3 linked regions of the Rattus norvegicus genome follow. The protein of the gene in region 1 binds, or shares a complex with, the protein of each later gene. Links are inferred from orthologs where the notes say so. Each region holds a gene or a part of one and is shown in the gene's direction. Other genes may lie near its edges.

Region 1 (4,646 bases):
AAATTGTCCTGTTGTCTTCTGCCTGCTCACATTCCTTACAGCTAAAGAACTGTGGGTGGAGTAGAAGGAGTGCACTACAGCTACGTTAACTTTGATATATGAAATCAACTTCAAATTCTGTATCTAAGGGTTGTGCAAAGAGTATATAAGAGGATATAAAGATGGATGAATAATTTTATCATTGTTTCAAAAGATTTACAGTCATAATACTATAGGCAGCATGTATTTTTTACAATAATGGAAATGCAAATTGATAAGTTATGTGAAATGAAAGATGAGTGGTAGCCTAGGAGGGGGAGTCAGTCTTTGCACTGTTGGGTACACCTGGCCGAGAAACTTGACAATAGCAGAGATAAGGAAGATGAGCACCGTGCAGTTAGGGATTCTGACCATTAGAGTATTAAGCTAGTGTGCATTGAAGTTTAGGTGAGGACTTTAGAAAACAGCCACACAAGGAAAGTTTAAGGAGATGATGTGGGGAGAGTCAGGTGGAACCTACCATGACAGACTCACCAGGCCAAAGCCGTTTCAGTTCATTGGATGTTTAGTGAGAATTGGGAGGATTATGTTAGAATGATGTTGTCATATTCTAGCCAGTTTATTAGCCAGATGAAAAAATGTATCACAATTCTGTCTGCAGCATATATTCACTCAAGATTTATGTTCATTCTTTCAAAAATATGGCTGTTTTATAACATGAAAGTAAAGGTTTTTAAATAAGTATATTGAAAATTTGTAAAAGGGCTTTATATTGATGTATTTGTTTTCATTTATAAGTTTTTGTTTTGCATTTGAGTTAAAGGTTTAATTTGACCCATAAAAAAAAAATACAAAAACACAACTCCTGCTGCACTCTATGCCACCACTGTCCCTCTCCTCTTCCTGTAGCAGTTACTGTGTTTTTTCCTTTCTACATTTGACTATGGCCTCCTTTATAACAGACTTCACCTAGATAAAGTTCCTTTGTGTGACACTTAGTGTAGAGAATTTTCTTATTTTTAAGTTTGACTTTGAAAACTAGCTCTTTGAGGTTTTAAAACCACACCAGCTGTTTAGAAACACAGCTAAAAAAACCCCTCTCTTCACCTTTCTCCCTGAGTAAAACCACTCATCCTACTTTCCTGAATAATCAGCCATCTTGTAAAGTACTTGAGAGTAAATTATGAACGTGTATGAGGAGATTTCTCAAGATCGAAAGACTGTTTAGCTGTGTTTCTTATCCTTTTCATTGCAGGAGATTTGTATGGCGCTATTGGGTCTCCAGTACGGTTAGCAAGAACTGTAGTAGTTGGCAAACGACAAGACCTGGTCCAGAGACTGCTTTATTTTCTTACTTACTTTATCAGATGCTCTGAACTTCAAGAAACCCATCTTTTAGAAAATGGAGAAGACGAAGCCATTGTTATGCCAGGCACAGTGATTACTACCACTTTAGAAAAGGGGGAAGTAGAGGAATCTGAGTATGTGCTGATCACAGTGCATAGGAACAAAAGCAGCTTGCTCTTTAAAGAGTCAGAAGAGACAGGAACTTCCAACTGTAACTGTAAATATTGCAGCCATCCACTCCTTGGGCAAAATACAGAGAATGTGTCTCAACTAGAGAGAGAAGATATTCAAGACAACTCTAAGGAATTGCTGGGAATTTCAGATGAATGCCAAAAGATTCCTCCTCCTGACTGCCAAGAAGAAAATGCTACTGATGTTCAGCGGTACAGAGATAAATTAAGAGCTCGTCTTGACACCAAGTTAGAGACAATTGTTTGTACAGGGTCTGCTCCAGCAGACAAATGTGTGTTGTCAGAGACAGGCTTGGAGCCAACAGAAGAATCCTGGCAGAGTAAGGAATTGCTGGATTCAGATAATCAAACAGGCACAGCGATGAGACCTACAGGGATAGTTGTAGAAAAGAAACCTCCAGATAAGACTGTGCCCAGTGCATTTTCCTGTGAGTTAACTCAGACAAAGGTTACTTTCTTGATTGGAGATTCTATGTCACCTGATTCAGATACTGAACTTCGGAGTCAGGCTGTGGTGGATCAGATTAACAGACATCATAGCAAACCACTGAAGGAAGACAGAGGAGTGACTGAGAAGCATCAAGAAAATAAAATCACTAAGGACCAATCTGGAGGCTCTGGCACACATAACATGGTTTCTGGAGAGTCCTGTGAGCTTCCTTGTTGGAGTCATTCAGATCCAGAAAGCATGAGCCTCTTTGATGAATATTTTAATGATGATTCGATTGAAACCAGGACTATTGATGATGTTCCAGTTAAAACAAGTACAGATAGTAAAGAGTATTGCTGTATGTTGGAGTATCCAAAAAGATTGTATACAAAAGATAACAAACAGCAAAATGAACTTTGTAAATGTATAGAAACAGTTCATCAAGATTCGTGTAATGCCTGCTTTCCTCAGCAGGACCAGAGAGATGCCCTCTCTATTCTTGTCCCCCATGGGGATAAAGAGAGTTCAGACAAAAAAATTGCTGTAGGAACTGAATGGGACATTCCAAGAAATGAAAGTTCAGATAGTGCCCTTGGAGATAGTGAGAGTGAAGACACAGGTCCTGACATAAGAAGACAAGTTGGCAGTTACTGTGGAGGGGATCAGGAAGATTGGGCAGAAGAGGATGAGATACCTTTCCCTGGGTGAGTAGAAAGTTTTCTCCTGAACCAGACCCTGCAGAAGCGTGTAATATTCTTTGGTTTAGCCAGTCTCCAGAGATTGGGAGCATCTAACTTTAAAGAGGTTACGGCTCCAAGATGGCTCTGCAGTAAAAAGCACCTGCCGTATGGGCCAGATAATCTAGGTTTGAGTCCTGAAATCCACCGCTTCAGAAGGAGAGAGTTGACTCCCAAGGGTTGCACACTGACTTCATGCAATTATACCCAAAGTAATGATTAATAAGATAATTTTTAATGTTGTTTTACTGGTCAAATTCTTTTACTCAGAATGAGAATTCAAGATTATTCTCCGTATGATCCCCTGTGGAGGCATCAGAGACAATAAAGAAGTGAAATGTAGGAAGTTGGTCTTTTCTTAGTTTTCAAACCATTTTGGAGTGAATTATGTACATACACATTCCCAAAGTGACCTATGACAAGCCTGACACTTAGGGGGAATCTTTCAGGTAGTAGGGAATAAATAAATTTAGCCAGCACAAAGAGGGAATGTATATTTAAGGTCAAGTATGCAAGGAAAATATCACTGCTTTGATATTTGATATTTGATATCGTACAGAGCCAGATTTTTAGCTACTTTCTTTGCTTTACACACTGGTTTTCATAGTCCGATTGTATTAGGAACATGTTTCAAATATTTGTAAGGTACGGCCTTCTAAGTATAGACGAGTCATGCTGTTCTTGAGACCTCCTCCAAGAGAGAACAGTATTTTGTTGTTTGTTTTAGACCTTGGGCCACTTTTTTATATAAGGCTAACTTTATTCCTTATATGGTGTATAAATAGCAAGGGTACTGGAAAGACAGATTAGTAGATTTATAACCTTCCCCACCCCATCTTTCGCCACTGGTAAAAGATGTTTATTACTTAGTATATTTCTTTCTTTCTTTCTTTCCTTCCTTTGGTCATCTTTCTTCTAGGTCAAAGTTGATTGAAGTGAGTGCTGTTCAGCCCAACATTGCCAACTTTGGAAGATCCTTGCTGGGTGGCTACTGCTCATCTTATGTTCCTGACTTTGTTCTTCAAGGAATTGGGAGTGATGAGAGGCTCCGTCAGTGCCTGGCATCAGATTTGTCCCATGCTGTGCAGGTGAGATATCTTCAAAAAACCTGAGTATATTTAAAGCAAACTGTTACTATTCTGTTACAACCCAGATCCTGCCTGGTATTTTAGTTTTAGCCAAGCTGTGATCATATAAGATAGTTATTATTCTCTGAATTGTCACTTCATATATAGCATCTATGTCTTTGTATTTATCATTGTGCAAACAAGAATTAAATCTAGGAATCTCCCAAATGGAAATTTGAAATATAAAAAATATTTTAGATACTCATACTATCAAAAATTTGAGGTTTCCGCTCCCCTCTTACTTCTCTCTTACTCTTTGTTCTCCTCTGTTCTTGCCCCCTTCCCCACTCCCACCACGTACTCATGGCCGGCCACCTTTCTTCTACTCTTCTCTCATTAAACCTCTCCACATGGAAAAAAAAATTTTTTTGAGGTTTCCAAGAGAGTATTTAATTCCCTTGTCAGATGATTGCTTATATACAGAAACAGAACTGATCGTGTGTGTGAGATCGTTTATTCTGTAGCTTTCCTGAGCTCTGAACTGTTGTGCTAGTTTTTCATATTAAATCCTTGGTGTTCTTACACATAGTTCATGCCATCAGTGAACAGTGTTAGGTTTTGCATTCCAGTCTTGATTATATAGGTTCAAATCTGTACAGTGGTGCATGGAAAGAAAGGGAGACAGAAGATGGTATTATCTTGCTCCTTATACTAGAAGAAAGCATCAAGTCTTTCATATTAGGAGTGTTATTGATAGGATTTTTATAAATTGATACCCTTTTCACACGTGGAAGGACCTTCTATTCCAAGTCATTGGTTTTTGTTGTTGTTGTTGTTAGGTGATGGTGTTGCTTGCTCATTTTGATTGTTCTGATAGTTTGGGGGTTTATTTTGT
Region 2 (5,303 bases), on another chromosome or scaffold:
AATTTAATGTTATATCAAACTTATATAAGGTTTCGTGTGAGAACTCTTAAGCCACTTTTGATTTTTAATGAATGTTCTAATGAATGATTTACAAATTTTTGTCTTTCAGTCTCTGTAATTTATCTCAACATATGAATAAAAAGAAGGGATGTTCTCACCATAAAAAGGCTTGTTTTCATTATAGTACATCCTTCAATTTTTTTCTTTTCCTTTTCTCCTCCTCCTCTTCTTCCTCTTCTTCCTCCTCTTCTTCCTCTTCCTCCTCTTCCTCCTCCTCCTCTCCTTCTTTTGAGACAAGAATCTCACTATGTAGCTCTCACTATCCTGGAACTCACTATGTAGACCAGGATAGCCTCCAACTCAGAGATCAGCCTGCATCTGCCTCCCAAGGCATGCACCACCATGCCCAGCATATTATCCTCTTGAAATGCTCATTCATTCATTCATTCATTCAAAAAAATGTATGAATCCCTCCTGTGTCCCCAGTAATGAACTAGGAGCTGGGAATTATTCACGAATTAAGACCAAGGGTAAATTTAATCAAGAGAACATTATTGTCCAGGAAATGAATGTTTTAATTTTGATAAACATGAGAGGATCACAAACTACCCATTTATCTATTGATATCTATCTTTAACATTTACCTATTAATACTTATCTATTTATTAACATTTATCTATTTATCTATTAACAGTTATCTAGAGTACCTTCACTATTCTGGAAACATCTAGGAAGACTTCACGGAGAAACTAAACTTAAGCTAAAATCCAAAGGATGAAATAAGAGTGGGGCTGAGACACTAGAGGACAACTTCATGCAGTGTGGGACAATCGATGTTATCGAAAACACGCTGACTCACACGGCTGAGCTGGCCTGTACGAGATCAAGGCAGCCAATATTCTAGCATGTAGTGGGAATGGTTCATGGGCCTACCTATAATGAGGAGCTGTGGACAATTGACGGCTTCTGAGAGAGGGACTGTCAGTGTTCTTTAAGGGTGGCCCCTGGTAGGTTGACCATGACCTATTGGATAGTCCCACAGGCCCAGGAGTAGTTAGATGATCAGCACAAACTGGACTTGATGGGTTATTGGGATGGGTTATGGGGGTGAACCCAAAGTTTGGAGGGTACAAATATGGGGGTGAACCTGGGAGGAGTTAGGGCAGGGGTAAATATGATCAAAATATATTTCATGAAATTCTCAAAGAATAAAAGTGTTAAAACTTTATGGGAATGAAAAGAAACTTGTGTAATGATTTAGTAGAGGAATTCCCAAGTATGGGCTCCCATACAGCTGACATTTTCTTTAATGGTACACACAAGGTAAGAGCTAATCTGCAGCAAAACCACCATCTTCAATCCCCCCCCCCCCCCGAGCTCACGCAGCCACTGGGGAATATTTAGATCCCAGATGATTTTCGTTTGTCCTGGGGGTTTTCTACAGGAGTCTCCTAAGCGGACTACTGTGCCGCCCTCTACCACAAAGAATGTTCGTGGTGTCACAAAGTGTCAGTGGTGGGAAACACCAGGCCAAAGCAAGTGGAGAAGCCTTCCTTTTGCTAAGCATTCTTGCCTTCCCCTTACAGTAGGCTTTCTTGAATGTACAAACATCAACAAAAGATATAGACAGTTTTTTACAAAGCTACAACAAAAGCAGGTCCTAGAGCCAAAGCAGGCAGCCCAGTGCATGCATGTTCAAAACAGACTTGACAAACGAGCCCATAGGTCCATGGCTCCTGCACTTCTAGGTAAAAACTGTAAGAAAAGAGCATGTAGGGTAGCACCCTCAGGAAACTGACTTGTAGGTTGGGTCATCTAGGGATCTGGGCCTTCTAAGTAGGCTTTTCAGTTCGTGCTTCTCAAAGGTCTTCATTCACAAAAAGATTTACATAATGGGTCTGGGAAAGGTGTATGCATACTCCGCACAGGACCGTCTTCCTTTGTAGGTGTGTTCAGTAGAAATTAAGGCGCAGGGACCTCAGACGCTTGATTAGCGGCTTCGGGTGCAGGGCGCAGCGCGCAGGCGCAGGAAAACTCCGAAGGGGCGGGGGGGGGCGGAGCTGCCGCGCGCGCAGTTTCCGCTGGGTCTCCCCGGAAGTTCCGAATCACCAGTACTGGAGGGTGCAGCAAGTGCTTCCTGGATCGCCACGGAGGTCACGAGTAATGTGACAGCGACTTGACAGGCAGCTTCAGAGAAGCGACTGAACTGCGGGAACACCGGGGCAGGTGGAGCGCGCGTTGCGTCTGCAGAGGTCGCCCCTTCTCTCAGCTCCGGGACAGGGTGGGTGGGGAGAGGTGGGCCGTCCGGGCTGGCCACCGGGCAGGGTCCTGGGGACCTCCCCACCCCCTTGACGGAGATCCAGAACTCTCGCTTGGCCCTGGCGAGGGTGGACCTCGTGATGCTGGCTGGGGCTGGGGAGGGTGAATAACCCCCAGGTGCGGGGGGAGTCACGGAAGTTTTCCTTCCAGGAGTGGAGACTGATTCTGCGAGAGAAAGGGGTTCATCATGGCGGATGTGAGTTGACACCCCTTCCCAAGAAAAATGGGGATGTGGGAGGTTTGCATGAGGCTTCTGAGAGGAAGCTAGAATTTTGTTCCGTCCTTAGCCTCTCCCCTCTTCCCGGATCCGGATCCGTAGTAAGGACTTGCAGGGACCTTAGTTTCTATCAGGAACGGTTGTGGTGGGGCACTCTTAACCCGAGAGAACTGTACTCTTCCCACCTCCTAATCCTATTGGAGCATACATGAACTCTGTGTGGGTAACTTCGGAAATTCTAAAGGATGACTGACTGCCCTTCCAGTCAGTACCTGATCCAGAGGACAGTGCTCTGAATACTTTCCTACCAAATAAATGCTTAGTGTCTCATTAGACTCAGCATTGCAATCTAAAAGGATTTCTAAAGGGTGCCCCTTTCGCAACCTGTATTCCGTTTCTGTGTGTCTGTTTAAGACGAGAGCAAAAGTTCATGGTGGTAACATGGGAGAGGATACTCATTTAGGTTTGTAGATAAAGGTTCAAAACAGGACACATTTAGACTGGAGGTCATAGTTATGCTTGTTGGCCAGGAATATTTCTAGATGCATGTATAATGAGAGAAGGTGGCTTTCTGTTCTCTTAGTCCTTACCACGTTCTCTGATAAATCTCCACATTGTCATTATCTTTGTCAAGAAACTGGATATTAAAGTAGTTTATCTGAATTAGGATCATTAAAAACAATCGTGGAAGATCAGTACGGACATAGGAAGAGATTTATAGACTATTCCTAAGGGGACACAGTAGCATCAGGATGTAAATTATTAAGAAACACATGGTCTCATTTTATAGTAAATAATGTATTTGTGTTTCCCAATTCCAAGTACACCAACATATATACCTTATGAAATTTGATTATCCCTGTATACATGTAAGGAAACATACAATGGATCTGAGGCCTGGAAAAAGGTTAATTAACTTCTCCCAAGTTATACAAGTAAAAGATGAAATGCCAGTTACAAATGATGACCTCATGTCCTTTGGGGTATGGACAGGGCTAGAAAAGCACACAGTAATATGATCTTTAAAAAATTATTCTCTTTCAGGATCTAAAGCGATTCCTATACAAAAAGTTGCCAAGGTAAGAAATTACTAATTTGTTGCTGAATAAATTCTGCGCAACATGTTAATCTTACAAAGTGTTTTGTTTCTCCTTTTTAAATTAATATTTTATAATTGTCATGGTAATTATTTGCCACGTTTTAATACAAACTAACCCCAAGTATCGTAAGTAATGACTAGTTTCTAGATAGATAACTCGAAGCCCAGGCTGTTAAATGACTTGTGTATGGTTCAACAGCAGATAGGTACTAGGGACAGAACTTAGATTTCTTGCCACTTTGAATTATTTTTAAACACACTATCATTGGTGTTTATTAGATTATTTTTTAAAGTTCTTAAGTAAATTTAAGAAAAAAAGCTTAAGACTTGCCATTATTTTCAAGTCTATTTTACTATTGGGACCTAATTGCTGGTCAACATAATCCAAAAATAGTTGGCTCAGAAAACAGTTCCCTACCTGTTTTTAGGTGCCGTTCTTACAAAGGCCTTAACAGGTGGTAACGTTAGCAGATTGCTTTTACGTATTTTACTGATCCAAAGGACTTTCTCACTTGAACTCATTGAAGCTCATTCTTAGTTTAATGTGAAAACAAAAAACAAAAAAAAAAAAAAACGATGTCTTTGTTGACAAGCACGTCTTTTGTCTACATCCACATCTTTCTACAAATAACTCAGAACTCGTAATCATTAAGGATGAGCAAGGAAGGTAGGGAAGAATGCCCGAGTCTTTGTTTTCACATTCCAGAACAAAGCAGCAGATTGGATTGAACAACCTTTGAGGTCATCAAGCAGAATATTCTATGAATATTTTTCTATTTGTGGAATAATATAAAAGTTATTTATATTATTTTGTCTAATCTTCCGAGTCTAAAGTTATAAGCGCTTGTGTGCAGATATCAGTTTACCTCTGTAGGTTGAAAAAATTAACACTGGTTTCAAGTTGCTTGAATTGTTGGATGTATGGCTTTTGCTTTGATTGTAGATCAGTGGAAATTAATAAGTGTGTTCTGGTTGTGATCTATATGGTGTATATAGAAAACACCATTGGCATGTTAAGTGAGACAGTGATAATTATCGATTTTATGTTAATGAAATCTTTAATTAATTTAAATTAATGTAATTAAATTTAATTTTAATTCTTTTTCTCATAATAAAATGGCAAATTATAGAGACCAGCTGCTGGTTCTGTTTTCACACAAATGGCCAACATGACAGGCAGTGACAGCTTTGCATGCTAACTAATGAATGGCAATAGAAACAGTGGTACAGGCTAAAACCATGCAGGAGAGGGTTAGTAACTAGTGGGGGAAATAATACTTGTTTTTCTGACCTTATAACATTTCAAAACATTAAAACTTTTCTCGTTATTGATTACTAATGCTTGGGGGACTGCAGGCTGCCCTCGTGTGCTCTCTAAAGCCATGATAAAACACTGACGGAAAGCAACATGAGGAGAAAGAGTATTGAATCTTACAGATTACAGTTTATCGCGGAAGGACAGGGCAGGATCTGAAGCAGAAGCCACGGAGGAATGCTGCCTGCTGGCTGCCTCCACATGGCCTGCTCAGTGTGTTTTTTTTATACAACTCAACACCACCTGCCTTGGGTGGTTCTACCCCAGGGGCCTGGGACCTCCTTCATCAATCATAATCAAGAAAATGCCCTGCAGACTTACCTGCAGGCCAGTCTCATGGAGGAGGCATGCTC
Region 3 (5,374 bases), on another chromosome or scaffold:
ATACCAATGGTTCCTGAATAGTTCATTGCAATCCAAAAGCATAAAGGTAGTTTTAAAGAACTGTATAATTGGTCCACAGAGCAAAGGAAAAAGCATCGGCCTTGGCGTCATACCATGGAGAGTGGGAACTAACTCTTCCACTGGCCGGTTGTACTGGATGCAGCTGGAGTTATTACAGGGAAGTTAAGGGGGTGCCATGATGGGCTTATGACTGAGAGTCTTAGATGAGTGTGGAGAGCGCTGCTCCCAGCCAGTGGTGAACGGTGACGGCACACAGCTGGAACCTTTGCACTTGGGAGGTGGAAACAGGAGCGCCAGGAACTCAAGGTCAGCCTAAGTTAGATGAAGTTCTGCCTCAAACAAGACAAAACAAACAAAACAAAACCATGTGATTCCTCAGCATCATGGGTATCTAAGGCCTGGGAGGGCCTGAATGTTTAGCATCTTTGAACAGCTTTCTCTTCACAGTCTCTGCCAATTTAAAATTTCTTTCAAGACCACCCCACTAGTTAGCTTAAAATAGCCTCTAACTCAAGTTCCTTCCACTTCCCTCCCAGCTTTGGGATTATAGGTATGCATCACCACAGCCACTTAAGTTTAAATTGTATATTGTAATTATACTTTTTTATATTTTCATTTTTATGGTTTTGGTTTTTCAGTACAGGGTTTCCTCTGTGTAGCCCTGGCTGTCCTGGAACTCACTCTGTAGACCAGGCCGGCCTTGAACTCAAGAGATCTGCCTGCCTCTGCCTCCCAAAAGACAAGATTAAAGCTATGTACCACCACTTCTTGGCTTTTTATATCTATTTTTAATGTGTGTGTGTGTGTGTGTGTGTGTGTGTGTGTGTGTGTGTGTCCATGTGTACCGTAGCTCACAAGTGTAGGTTTGAGAACTATTTGTGGGGTTGGTTGTTTCCTTTAACAATGTGGGACTCAGTGATCAAACTCAGGTTATTAGGCTTGGCGGCAAGCACCTTTGCCTGCTGAGCCTCTTTGCTGGCCCTACTTCAAAATTGTTGCCATGTTGAATTCCGGGCCTGGGCATGCTGGGCAAGTGTTCAAACTCAGACCCATGCCTCATTTTTAAAGACATGCATTTTCTCTAATTAGCTGCTTCTCCTAAACCAAGACGATTTGGGGTGGAGGACTTTCTTTCTTGAGCTATGATTAGTGCTGGGGATACAGACCAGATGGAGAGCTCTTACCCAGCATGCGCAAGGCCCTTACTTTGCTTCTCGGCACTGAAAATAAGGGGGGGGGGGGGGAGGGTTATATAATTCACAGATCTTGAAACATTTTAATTCAAAGTGTACAACCTATGTCACAGTCACAAAGATAGGCAGACTTCAATACGAATCCCAAAAAGTTTAAATCACACGTGCCACTCCCCCCCCCCCCTTAATAGGCACTTCCTATTTTCTCTTGCCTCACTACCGACCACTAACTGCTTTCACGTTTTTCTGGATTTGCCAGAAGTGTATGTGTTTTAGTTAGGCTCCTGGTAGGTAGCTCAGGCTGGCACTGAACTCACTATTCAGTCCAATCTGGCCTGAACTTGAAACCCCCTTCCTTGGCTTCCCAGGATTTATACCAGTATTACAAGTATTCAGCGTCAGTCACAGCTAAGCATCTTACATAGATGGAACCACATAATATGTGGTCTTATGTGACTGCCCTTTCAAGCCAGTCCTTCTGGTTGATTCTGAGCCTCTAAAGGCTGAGTTGTCTCTGAAGCTATTCTTCTGGCTTGCTTTAACTTGCTTTCGAGATTCTCAAGTTGCTCTTGGTGTCAGGACGTTTTTCCCTTGTATTGATAATATACTACAGTGTGCATATATACACCAAATTTGATTTACCCATTCATATTTGGGTCGTATACTAAGGCAGAAAATTAACACGTGAACAGTTTTTCATGTGTAAACCATCGTCATTCACATTAACTTCTCTTTTCAGGTTGAACCGTGACACCTAACGGGGAAAGCTCTTTACAACACTAGACTGCATTACTTTCTCCTTGGAAGCCTAGGCGCACGCGCACGTTCGTGAGGAGGTGGAGAGGTGCCCCGCCCCTCGCTCAATAACTCTTCAGATAATCTCGCAGGCGAATCCTGAGTGGCGAGGAAATGCAACCAATCCACGAATGTGTCCGGAAAGCGGCGCTCCGCAGTGGTTGATAAAGTCTGATGACGTACGCACCATCCAATGCGCAAGCGAAGGGCTGGGCTAGAGTCAGCTGGTGAACCACCTGACCGGAGCCTGGAGCCGGAAGCTACCTATCCGGTAGACAGCTCCCCCTGCACCTACGGCTGCCATGGTGAGTGAGGACGCATGCGCGGGCTTGTGCGCCTAGGGTTGCGCGTCCCTGTTCCCCAAACTTCGGTTACCCCCTTATGGCTTGCACTCCGCTGTCACCCCCAGTCCACCCTGGGACCGAAAGGAAACAGAGATGGAAGGGAGGCGACCGGGAGGGCTGGAGAAGGAAGGCTCCGCTACCGGGTGTTTTGCGGCCGGGAGTAGTTTTGATGGCACAAGGGGCGGGGCATAAGGGCACTGGAATGAGAAGGGGCTGTGAAGCTAGGAAGGTCTCCTGGGTCACCTGCCTGACAAGTGGAAGAGCTCAGGCGTCCAATAGTGACCATGGATGGAGACTCAGTGTTACAAGCCATTTAGAGGGTCTGAAAGGCTTATATCCAGGAGGGAGATGGGTTTACAAGGCTGTCATGGTTCTCACCTCTTGCCTCTTTACCCACTAGACTTCCGCACTGACCCAAGGGCTGGAACGAATCCCAGACCAGCTTGGCTACCTGGTGCTGAGCGAAGGTGCAGTGCTAGCGGTGCGTTGTGGGAAAGCGAGGCATGGGGTGGTGGCGGTGACGGGGTCCTTTGGGGACACACAACCCAGAAATCCCTTCAAATATTTCCCGCTTTCTCTCAGTTGTCTACTTTTGTCCTCTCTGTGGTTCCCTGCTTGCCATATTTAATGTTTGGATATATGGTATAAATGCTTATTTCCAAAAGGTTGGGGTTATAGCTCAGTCAGGAGAGTGAGTTACTTAGCACGTACAAAGCCTTCAGTTCAATTCCCAATACTGCACAAAACCAAACACAGAGGCACGTGATCTGTAGCCCCAGCACTTGGAAGGTGGAAACCGGCAGATTAGAAATTCAGGTTCATCTTTGGCTATGTATCAAGTCAAATCACAGTCTGGACCACATGTAACTCAGCCTCAAAAAACAAAAACCAAACTTTACCAAAGTCATTCAATTAGTTAGTTACTTGTAGTATGTTTTTATTTGGGATATCTTTAAAAAAGCCGAGGACAACCTTTGGGAGTGAGTTCTCCTCCTGCCATGCGGGTCCTGAGGATTGAAATCCGGTCCTTAGGCAAGCACTTTTATGCTCTGAGCCATTTCACCTGCCCCTAGAATTTTGGGGGGCGGGGGCAAGACTTCTCTAGAGGCAAGGATTGAGCTGAGCTGCTAAGACAGAAGGTTGTGAACGAGGAAGAGAATTCTCAGGGCTGGGAGCTGGACATACTTGCCTGAGTGTAACAGCGCCTGGTTGTGGTCTTGTGTTGAAACAGTTTGAAGAGGAAGGATGCTGTGGTAAGACTCTGATACTGAACTTCCTATGGCTAGCTTCAATATCTTTGGACAAATCTTGAGGGTTACTTAAAGGGTTTTGAAAACATAAATGTGACTCACAGAAATGGTGTAGCATGACTGTCCCAGGAGAGCCATCTAAGAGACTGGCCGGGTAGCAATGAGAAGTAAGGGCTATAGACATTGTATCTATTTTTTTAGTGTCTGCACATGTGTGTGCCCATGCATATGCTAAGACCAGTGTAGGACATTAGAGACCTCCTCTTACCCTTCTCTGCCTTATTCCTTGAGGCAGGGTCTCATACTGAACCTGGAGCTAGACTGGCAACACTGAGCAAGCCTTAGCAATCAACCTGCCTGTACACCCACAGTACTGGGATTCCAGGTGTGAGCATGGCCATGTAGGGTAGGGGATTTGAACTCAGGTCCTCTTGCTTGTACAGCAAGCGCTCTTATCCACTGAGCCATTGCCACAGCCCAGAGATCACATCTTAGAGGTATTAATATATGTTGGTAATAACTAGGTAAAGTACTTCTGCATGTACCTTACCTTTCTGATGTACTCATCCTGTAGGACTCTGAGCAGGGAAAACCAGAAAAGTACTGTGGTACCTGAACAAATAAGAAAGTAAAAAAGGAAGCTGACCAAGGAGGTAGCTAAAGGGAATTTTGATGGCCTGACTATAGACAGGAGATGAGTGAGGTCTGAGATGAGTGAGATGGACTGATAGCAGTTATAGTACATTTATTATGTAGGCACTGTTATAATATTCTCATTGTTTTCTCATGAAACTTCCACAAGCACAGAATATGGGTCCAATATACAGATGGAGAAACTGAGAGCAAAAGGAACTAAATCTAGTAAAGGGCCCATTTAGAATCAGTGGGAAGAGGGAGTAGAAGCAGTTTGTCCAGAGAAGTCTGGACTACTGTCTTCTCATTGACCCTAGAAGTAGCCAGAGGGAAAGCTTCAAAGACAAAGTAGGTGTTTCTGGTTCATAGCCTTCAGACAAGGACAAGTGGGAAGACTGGGGACAAGTGGAACCTTCAAAGATTGAGCAGTTAGCTTAGTGGTAGAACATCTTCCTAGAATCCTCTGTGAGGGGCTGAAGGCATGGGTCAGTAGTAGAACACTTGCCCAGGAGTCCCCCAGTGAGGGGCTGGGGGCGTGGCTCAGTGGTAGAGCCCCTGCCTAGAATCCCCCCAGTGAGGGGCTGGGGGTGTGGCTCAGTGGTACAGCCCCTGCCTAGAATCCCCCAGTGAGGGGCTGGGGGCGTGGCTCAGTGGGAGAGCCCCTGCCTAGAATCCCCCAGTGAGGGGCTGGGGGTGTGGCTCAGTGGTACAGCCCCTGCCTAGAATCCCCCAGTGAGGGGCTGAGGGCGTGGCTCAGTGGTACAGCCCCTGCCTAGAATCCCCCAGTGAGGGGCTGGGGGTGTGATAGATCACTTGGTAATCACACCCTAGGTTTTGATTTTCTGCATGGCTATCAGTAGAGTTGCAAAAGAAGCCTGGTGTCTCAGAATGAGAAACAAAATGGCACAAGGGAAGGCAGCACCATCATAAAGGGGTTTTAGGTAGGATTTTTCTGAAGCTGGGTGATTTGGGACTACAGACAAGGGAGACCATAACAAGTATAGGAAACAGAGGTCCTGTGCCTTGAATTTGTTCCCAACTCTGGCCTCTTTCTTTTGTTCCTGCCCCCCTTCACCCACATGCAGTCATCTGGGGATCTTGAGAACGATGAGCAGGCAGCCAGCGCCATCTCAGAACT

The links.
Region 2: Fnip1 (region 1) and Lamtor3 share a complex: the UniProt entries of both Homo sapiens proteins name them as parts of the lysosomal folliculin complex. The link is inferred for Rattus norvegicus from reciprocal best matches to the Homo sapiens genes FNIP1 and LAMTOR3.
Region 3: Fnip1 (region 1) and Lamtor4 share a complex: the UniProt entries of both Homo sapiens proteins name them as parts of the lysosomal folliculin complex. The link is inferred for Rattus norvegicus from reciprocal best matches to the Homo sapiens genes FNIP1 and LAMTOR4.

What each region holds. Positions count from the first base shown.
Region 1 is NC_086028.1:39,134,134-39,138,779, forward strand, and holds part of Fnip1 (folliculin-interacting protein 1), read left to right. Parts: intron 1-1,234; coding exon 1,235-2,651; intron 2,652-3,603; coding exon 3,604-3,772; intron 3,773-4,646. UniProt on the Homo sapiens protein: Binding partner of the GTPase-activating protein FLCN: involved in the cellular response to amino acid availability by regulating the non-canonical mTORC1 signaling cascade controlling the MiT/TFE factors TFEB and TFE3.
Region 2 is NC_086020.1:229,082,719-229,088,021, forward strand, and holds the start of Lamtor3 (ragulator complex protein LAMTOR3), read left to right. Parts: upstream 1-2,171; 5' UTR 2,172-2,252; exon of another isoform or gene 2,253-2,281; intron 2,282-2,469; 5' UTR 2,470-2,506; coding exon 2,507-2,515; intron 2,516-3,580; coding exon 3,581-3,615; intron 3,616-5,303. UniProt on the Homo sapiens protein: As part of the Ragulator complex it is involved in amino acid sensing and activation of mTORC1, a signaling complex promoting cell growth in response to growth factors, energy levels, and amino acids.
Region 3 is NC_086030.1:22,370,027-22,375,400, forward strand, and holds the start of Lamtor4 (ragulator complex protein LAMTOR4), read left to right. Parts: upstream 1-2,242; 5' UTR 2,243-2,311; coding exon 2,312-2,314; intron 2,315-2,753; coding exon 2,754-2,834; intron 2,835-5,321; coding exon 5,322-5,374. UniProt on the Homo sapiens protein: As part of the Ragulator complex it is involved in amino acid sensing and activation of mTORC1, a signaling complex promoting cell growth in response to growth factors, energy levels, and amino acids.